Linked DNA regions of Saccharomyces cerevisiae S288C. Each later gene encodes a partner of the first gene's protein in a complex. Each region holds a gene or a part of one and is shown on either strand. Other genes may lie near its edges. A codon is read from its position in the direction of its gene.

Evidence for each region.
Region 2: the proteins of DCN1 (region 1) and CDC53 are in contact, whole or in part, in a crystal structure (PDB 3O6B), measured with the Saccharomyces cerevisiae proteins. Residues at the interface, in NP_013229.1 of Saccharomyces cerevisiae: Asp181 (codon at 773), Ser224 (codon at 644), Asp226 (codon at 638), Arg229 (codon at 629), Met230 (codon at 626), Leu233 (codon at 617), Arg237 (codon at 605), Glu250 (codon at 566), Thr251 (codon at 563), Ala252 (codon at 560), Ala253 (codon at 557), Trp254 (codon at 554), Pro255 (codon at 551), Phe256 (codon at 548), Ile257 (codon at 545), Asp259 (codon at 539); in NP_010150.1 of Saccharomyces cerevisiae: His767 (codon at 879), Val786 (codon at 822), Ser787 (codon at 819), Lys790 (codon at 810), Arg791 (codon at 807), Asp794 (codon at 798), Ile797 (codon at 789), Gln798 (codon at 786), Arg804 (codon at 768), Gly805 (codon at 765), Asp806 (codon at 762), Asp807 (codon at 759), Gly808 (codon at 756), Glu809 (codon at 753), Tyr811 (codon at 747).

What each region holds. Positions count from the first base shown.
Region 1 is NC_001144.5:396,446-399,936, reverse strand, and holds DCN1 (NEDD8 ligase DCN1), read right to left. Parts: upstream 1,408-3,491; coding exon 1,405-1,407; intron 1,311-1,404; coding exon 504-1,310; downstream 1-503. Other genes in the region: snoRNA-binding rRNA-processing protein DIP2, read right to left, coding at 1-280; APC2 (anaphase promoting complex subunit 2), read left to right, coding at 1,618-3,491. UniProt on the Saccharomyces cerevisiae protein: Required for neddylation of cullin components of SCF-type E3 ubiquitin ligase complexes. Neddylation of cullins play an essential role in the regulation of SCF-type complexes activity.
Region 2 is NC_001136.10:222,600-227,480, reverse strand, and holds CDC53 (cullin CDC53), read right to left. Parts: upstream 3,178-4,881; coding exon 730-3,177; downstream 1-729. Other genes in the region: homocitrate synthase LYS21, read right to left, coding at 1-88; SRF1 (phospholipase D regulator), read right to left, coding at 3,741-4,881. UniProt on the Saccharomyces cerevisiae protein: Core component of multiple cullin-RING-based SCF (SKP1-CUL1-F-box) E3 ubiquitin-protein ligase complexes which mediate the ubiquitination and subsequent proteasomal degradation of target proteins.

The DNA.
Region 1 (3,491 bases):
ATAAATCCGTATCTTTATGAGCCTCCAAATATGTACACTCGGCTGGCTTGGCGCCTCTAGCATCAGATGCGCCTGGAGGTAAGCCATCGGATAATTTACTGACCAAATCCCCGGTCTTAATATCCCATATATTAACGTCCTCGAGAGCACTCGTAATCAATTGTCCTGGTCCACTACCATTACTATTTCCGGATGACGCAGGTATCCAAACACAATTGGCATTGGAGGCTATTACACCAAAAGCAGCTGCTTGCTCAAAACGTTGGTATGATTTGACCATAATAGCTCTTATTCCAGTTTCTCTGGTCCTTCTAGTGGCTACTCTGATATACGTACGACCTTATACAATATCTACATCTATATTATGAGGGAACTGAAAATTTCTGAAAAATTTTCCACTGCTCATCGCGTTTTTTATTTCCGCCTTATTCCCATCTATCTTAGAAGGGTAACGTATTCCATGCAATATTAAACAGCATACCCTTAAGTATATGAAAGGATGTTTATTGCTGATCCTGTAAGCACTCATAGAACTCATCGATAATAAATGGCCAGGCTGCAGTTTCGTCGTAATCGCTTATTATTTTCTGAATAGTGGGGTATCGTTTGAAAAAGAGGAGCAGCATACGCCAGGTGTCTTTACTTATAGTGGTTTTCCCCTCATCGCGAAGGAAACGGAACCATGCCTCAAGCAAATCTGGTTCCATACGCACTGGGTACTCTGGTTGGAAAAATAGCTTCCAATACTGGATGCCTTCGTCTGTATCTATATCCTTTCGATTTGGGTCCAGAATCAAATTGAAAGCATAGTTATAAATCTGTGTGAAATATTGTAAGTCTTCATGTAATTTAACATCTAACGTCTTGATGCACTCTTGCATGTCTGAAATGGTGGAACAGCCTTGCATAAACCATGTTGACAGGAAGTCCTCTCGTTTTAAGGGTTCTTCTAGTTTCTTGTACCCCAGTAAATGGGCTAAGCATAATGTCGCTAAATCTTCAAGATTGTAGCCTAGCTCCTCAATGAACTTGACCAGTGAGTCTATATCAAACAAGTTGTTATTGATATAGTGTTCAAATACCTGTGTTAGCTCCTTCGGGTATACGGGTGGATGAGCCACAGTTGAAACCTCGTCAGTAAACGTCCCTATTTCCTTGTCATAATAATCATTGAGAGCGTAATTGATGTTCCAGTGATTACGCTGCAGGTACTTCCTGGATACCTTGGGGTCACATTTGGTTAATGAGGTGAATGATTCAATTGCCTCTTGTTCCGGGCTTGCATCCTTTCTTTTTATTTTATTATTACTCTATAATGATGCATCACATTTGAGCGCCCCTTGCCAATAAAGTGTTAGTACTTTGAAGAGCCTGAGAACTAAAGAAACGAAATTAAAAACATACCATGTCCTGAATGCAAGAACGTCTCTTCAAAAATTTCTTTTTTTATTGGGTACTTGCATGTTACTGCGTAAGTTCATTAGTTGCATCTAAATTTTCAAACCTTTGGTTACAAAAACAGTAATAGACAAAAGAGCCAAAATATCGAAAACTAGACGAAAGCCAGACTTAGCGGGACTGTAAATATTTATGGCTTATAGTTAAGGTTTTTCCATCATGTCATTTCAGATTACCCCAACTCGAGATTTGAAAGTTATTACAGATGAGTTACAAACACTTTCCTCATACATCTTTCACACAAACATAGTCGATGATTTGAACTCTTTACTTACATGGATGAGCCCTAATGATGCCAAGAGTAACCATCAACTACGTCCTCCAAGCCTTCGTATTAAGAATATCATTAAGGTTCTCTTCCCTAATAACGCAACCACATCGCCATATAGCATGATAAACACTAGTCAGGCAAACAATTCAATAGTTAATGAGGGAAATACAAACAAAGAGTTACAACTACAACTTTTTTCCACGCTCAAAGAGTTTTATATTTTCCAGGTTCGTTATCATTTTTTCTTACATTTTAACAACATTAATTATCTAAAAGATATCCAACGATGGGAAAATTATTACGAGTTTCCTTTACGTTACGTTCCTATTTTTGACGTAAATGTAAACGACTGGGCACTTGAACTTAATTCTTTAAGACATTATCTGTTGAATAGAAATATAAAGTTCAAAAATAATTTAAGAACAAGATTAGACAAATTAATAATGGATGATGATTTCGACCTGGCAGACAATTTAATCCAATGGCTCAAATCTGCTAATGGTTCCTTATCCTCTACGGAATTGATAGTCAATGCTCTTTACAGCAAAATCAATAAATTTTGTGAAGATAACATGAGTAGAGTATGGAATAAAAGGTTTATGATTATGGAAACATTCAACAAATTTATTAATCAATATTGGTCTCAGTTCTCTAAATTAGTCGGTTGTCCAGAGGATGATCACGAACTGACCACTACAGTTTTCAACTGTTTTGAGTCCAATTTTCTTAGGATAAGAACGAATGAAATCTTTGATATATGCGTTTTGGCTTATCCTGATTCAAAGGTTACTTTATTGGAATTGAGGAAAATTATGAAAGATTTTAAAGACTACACAAATATTGTAACAACTTTTTTGTCTGATTTCAAGAAATACATTCTAAACCCCAGCGTAACTACGGTGGACGCTTTGTTGAGATATGTTAAAACTATCAAAGCATTTTTGGTCCTGGATCCAACAGGGAGATGCCTACATTCAATAACCACGTTTGTTAAACCTTACTTTCAGGAGCGGAAGCACTTAGTAAATGTATTGTTATACGCAATGTTGGACTTACCTGAAGAAGAACTAAAGGAGAAAATTAATTTCAATGTAGATATGAAGGCACTGCTCTCACTTGTAGACACTTTGCACGATTCTGATATCAATCAAGATACGAACATCACCAAAAGGGACAAGAATAAAAAAAGCCCCTTTCTATGGAACCTCAAGGTGAAAGGAAAGAGGGAATTGAACAAGGACCTACCAATAAGACACGCCATGCTATACGAACATATACTCAATTATTATATAGCTTGGGTACCAGAGCCTAATGACATGATTCCCGGTAACATCAAATCAAGTTATATTAAGACAAATTTGTTTGAGGTGCTTTTGGATCTATTTGAATCAAGAGAATTTTTCATATCAGAATTTCGAAATCTCTTAACCGACAGATTATTCACTTTGAAATTTTATACGTTGGATGAAAAATGGACCCGATGTTTGAAATTAATAAGAGAAAAAATAGTCAAATTCACAGAAACAAGTCATTCCAATTATATAACAAACGGTATATTAGGACTCCTAGAAACAACAGCCCCTGCAGCAGATGCAGACCAGTCGAATTTGAATAGCATTGATGTTATGCTTTGGGATATAAAATGTAGCGAGGAGCTCTGCCGTAAAATGCATGAAGTAGCCGGACTGGATCCCATAATATTTCCAAAATTTATCTCACTCCTCTACTGGAAGTACAACTGCGATACACAAGGTTCTAATGA
Region 2 (4,881 bases), on another chromosome or scaffold:
AATCCGCAGGATTTGGGCCATATGGGTTACTAGTGGTTGGAGCAGTCGTCGATTCGGTGACACTCTGGAATTCGTTATTTTCAGACATGGTTTGTTAAAGTATACAATTACTTGGGTTGTCGTTGCACTTTTAAATGTGTAGCAAATAAAGGCCTAAACGCAACAAGAAGAAAGATAAATTTTGAAATCTGTTGCATATATATATTAGTATATAAGAGACTGCATGAAAATGCGAACAAACGCATGCTCAACACCACTCATGCGCAATATCGTAGAATCACACACAACGAGAACGATCAGCTTGGCATCTTTGCAAAGTGACTAATTTTCGCTGTTCCACCACTATCGCACATTGCGCGACGTGATTTCTACGCGGATTTCTTGGAGCTGGTAGCTGCTGGTGACGATTTCCAGCGGAATTTCAACTCTGCCACTGACTGATCCTTGTTGTCAGTCTCATCATTTCAGCCTGATCTCTTCTCAAGCAGGCCGAAAAGCCGCCCGGTAAAGGATGTTACAACGGAAAGAGAAGTGCCATATCTTCATACTATGAGATTCTCAAGAGGTCAAAGACTCTTCATAGTTCAGTTGAATACACACAATTACACACACACACATATATATATATACATATATATATATATATATATATATATATATATATGTATACGCTTATGTATTTACTCGTAGGATTTGCTTCGTTCGATCAGCACAAGCCTTCAAAGATGATTAAGCAAGGTAAGCATACGATTCACCATCGTCTCCCCTCTGTAGGTATCCCTTTTGTATTAAGCTATCGATGGCTCTCTTGACCATAGAAACCTTTGCATTGAACCTTTGGTGTGATTGCGCAATGCATTCGTTGACCAATGTTGTATGTGGCAGATTTCTTTTCGCTTTCATTATTCTCACAATACAAGCTTCCAAGAAAATCTGCCTTTCTGTATTCAATTCTTTTTCTATTCTTTCGTCTTCCGTCAAGCGTTTGTTTCCTAACTTATTACCGTGATTATCGTGGCCTCCACCGGATAGCGATTGCAGAATGTCGTTTTTGACTCCGCTAGCGAAATTAATATTGGTCTTAAGCGCCTTATAAGGACGTGATAGCTTGAATTGTGTTTCAGGTTTCACGAGAGCATCTAGCCCTGGTGGGACCTGTTGAATCAGTTTGAATTTGATGAATGGTACCATTGCCGCTGCGATGTGCTGAATGGTTAAGCTCGTGCCCTCTTGAATATTTTCTAAGGTTAATACATCAGCATCGTTATATAGTAGCAAAATTGCCATTTGAAACAGTGTTACCGTAAAGTTGAACGGCATCCTGCCGGGTTTTCCAATATCTGCCTTCAATTCGCCACGACATAATGGCCATAGCCACTTCAATATTCTACCATTATGCTTTTGGCTGTATGACTCCTTCAATTTTTCGTGAGATGGTACCAATTCCTTGGGTAGCTTAAATTCAACTTCTTGGTATGAAAATGGCCACATATTTTCTGCCAATACAAATGGTTGTAGATCTGGATATTTTGCTTTAGAGTAATCTGGTTCATTCTTCAGGGCGACAGCAAAATCGTCTTCCAAGATCTTGGAAAGTCTAATATCTTGAAACATTTTAGTTATCTTGCCTGTATATTCCATACTATTTGCCGCTTGCAGCCTTTGAATAATATTTTCTTCGTCTTCTGCTGATGTTGAAGTGCCATGAATTAAACGCTTGGCGAAAAGTCTTCTATAATGAGTTTCGAACGCATCTTTGTCGGTCAAATATTTGAATATTGTTATAATATCTTCATCTGACATGTCACTTGCCACTTCAGGTTTGGTGGCCTTCTTTAATAGTATATCACTGTACTTAGCTAGCATCTCGGAAGTCTTCGAGGTGGCACTTTTTGGAGATCCAGCAGGTAATGCGAACTCGTTGATGTTGATGAAAGCACCACACGCATTATCTAGAGCTTTAGCTAAAGGTATGTCGTCGGGGAAACTTTCATTAAAAATCTTAGAGAATATATCGTGTACTTCCAGTAATTTCTTGATATAGTCTTTAGGAGAAAGGGAGTGAGCTGTCATTAGTGCTAGTTTTTTAGGGTTTGCGTTTTCGTTTTTCATAATATTGTGTTTATGCATTGCCAGTAGACTCGAAATTTCATTCTCACCTGTCTTTTTAACATAATTTTCAAACACTGAAGCCATTCTTGGGATTAATGTAAAGTCTCTGCGTATTAGTGCGTACAAAGAAGTAATTTTTTCAATATCTCTGGCATCCAGAAGGACAACAAACTCATTTTCCAACTTTTCAATATGGTCTGTGATCAAGACCTTGTTTAATGCCATGGATAGTGGTTTTTTTGTATGATCATCCCAATATATTGTCATTGCTTTTTCCTCACGTTTGATGATTTCATGTGCTTCAAAAATATACTCAGTTACCGAGTGTTTCTCTAAATAATCGTTTGTATATTGCGTGTAGTACTCCTGAGTCTTCTTTAAAAATGGCTTTTCGAAAACTTGGATGTAGACATTTAGGTTCAACTTTTTCAAATCCTGTGGATCGATACCTAGTGCAACTAAAGACTTTATGGCAGTGCTAATATTACTTCTTTGAATTATTTGCCCCTCCCTTCCCAAGGTTACCTGGTCTAATAATTCGTTTATTAAAACATCTTTACTCGGATCAAACATGACTTCTTTCCATGTCATCAAGCACAAGGTGTTTACATCAAAAATATGCCTTTTGCCGTCACTTCTTTCCTTTTGAACCCAATATCTATTCATATAATCGAATGCATGGTTTAAAAAAATGGCACCTATTGTAAACCTTTTCCAGCGCTTGACGTAAAACTGCAAAAAGGTCTCTGAATTAGACTGCTTAAAATTTAAAATGTAATTCTTCAAATAATTCTTTAACTTTTCGTAAATCTCACTGCCAACCAAAATTGTTGATTGGCCAGTTCTACTGTCAGTACTAAAATGTCCAGACGAGCGTGATTTGTTCACACAGTAGTTATAAATTGCGGTATAGACTTCCATATACATGGTTGGAGAAAGAATTTTGTAAACTCGCTTAGACGTGGATGCTTGGTTTTTCTCATTACCCAGTATTTGGTTAATTCCTGGCTCTATAAAGTTCCAAGTGGCCTCTAAATCATCAGATCTAGGCAGAGTCTCAGACATGCTTTGCTGCTTGCGATTTTGTTGTTATTCTTTGTTTAGGTATATGTAAGAATCCTTTCAAGACTCAAAAATGTACGCTTATTTATCGGTAAGTAGAAGCAATGTCGAATTGCTAAAAGAAATGTGTAACTGAGGTAAAATGTAATCAACAATGAAAGGGGTGCACAGAAGTTAGAAGATGCGGATGAAAAGCTCTAAAAGAGAAAAAGGACAATATAAAAGAGCAGTGATATGAATCAATTGCGTTGTAAAGTGAAGTTCTGCTGGGGTACTTTACCTAATGCCCTAGTTTTTCTAGATGTTCTATTTGCCACATTTCACTTCATGTGTGTCCATCAAACATCGAAATGAAAAAGGGCCCTTAAAACGGAAAGGAAAAGAAAGTGCAATAGCCCTCCCTTCGGGTAATACATATTATATCGCACAAAGCCTAATATAATCAAACCCGCCGTTAATGAATAAATGCCAAGCCGGAGTAATTTTTTAAGTCAAAAATATACAATGCATATAAATGTCAATCTTGGTATCTAAAAGAATTCTTTTAATTTCTATATTTGTCGAGCTCAGTTTCTGTTGGTAATTGAACTGACTTTTTCGACTACTCTAACAATACTGATCGAGAAAGTGATTACCCACATAAACAAGGCAACGAACAGAAAAGCGGATAAAGCTTCCTGTTTTCTGCAGATACGCGGTATTTTTGGGTATCCATACGTGCTTCCATTTGACCTGCGAATAGAAGTGCAAACCCACTCTTTGTCGAAACGAGTATTAAATGCCAGCGCTAGATTAGCGCTTGAAAAAATTATAAAAAGTAAGTCCAACAAAATTAGTTTCAGTTTGCTTAACGGATTCCTCAAACCAACAGGTTTACCAGCAAATTCATCGTGTGCAATGTAAATAATATACGCAATCGCCACGGCGTTGACGCAGATGGCCATTATGGTGCTTGGTTGTTGCCCGATTTTACTTTCACTGATGGTGTTATTTGATCTTGAGTTTTGAAAAATCTTGATTGCCAGAGCAAGTGAAATGCACGATAATATACCAGTGAAAATCCTCAAACCCAAAATCAAATATTGATTATCAAGTAATAGCGACGTCAAAGGAGGTCTCCACTGTTGTAACTTCCTTTGCTTTAACCTCCGCCACTTTTCTCTCTCTTTATTGAGCTCATTTACCCAATCTGACTTGTAAACTTTGTTGTGTACTGATTCGGGTGATTCTGGGTTCTTCTTATTATCACCGTAATAGAAATCTTTTACCTTTTCGATATATTGTAACCACTCTTTTCTCTCTTCTGTCGTGTTGAACTCTAAATTGGCACCTATTTCTGAATGTAGAACACCTTCTAGTCGTTCTTCACCTCCCCACTCGCTGCACATGTCACCTAAAATTTCTCTAAGAGCCGCATTTTTTGATGAGGTAGATGATGATAGAGAGTAACCATCGTAGGATTTGTGACTAGGATTGTAGTTTTGGTCTCTAGTGTATGCAGAATGACAGCCGATGGTAGATGCAAACTGGCCCCATTTAAACTCTTTTGGAAGATTTTTATCATCGGTAACATTTCCATCAACGGTGCCCTTATCCTGAAGTCTTAATTTATCAAACTGCGCCTCTAAAACATAAGGCGGCACTGTGGTAGGCACAAACGTGTAAGTATTTAATTTTGGATAGTCTAGTGGTGAACCATCACTGTGT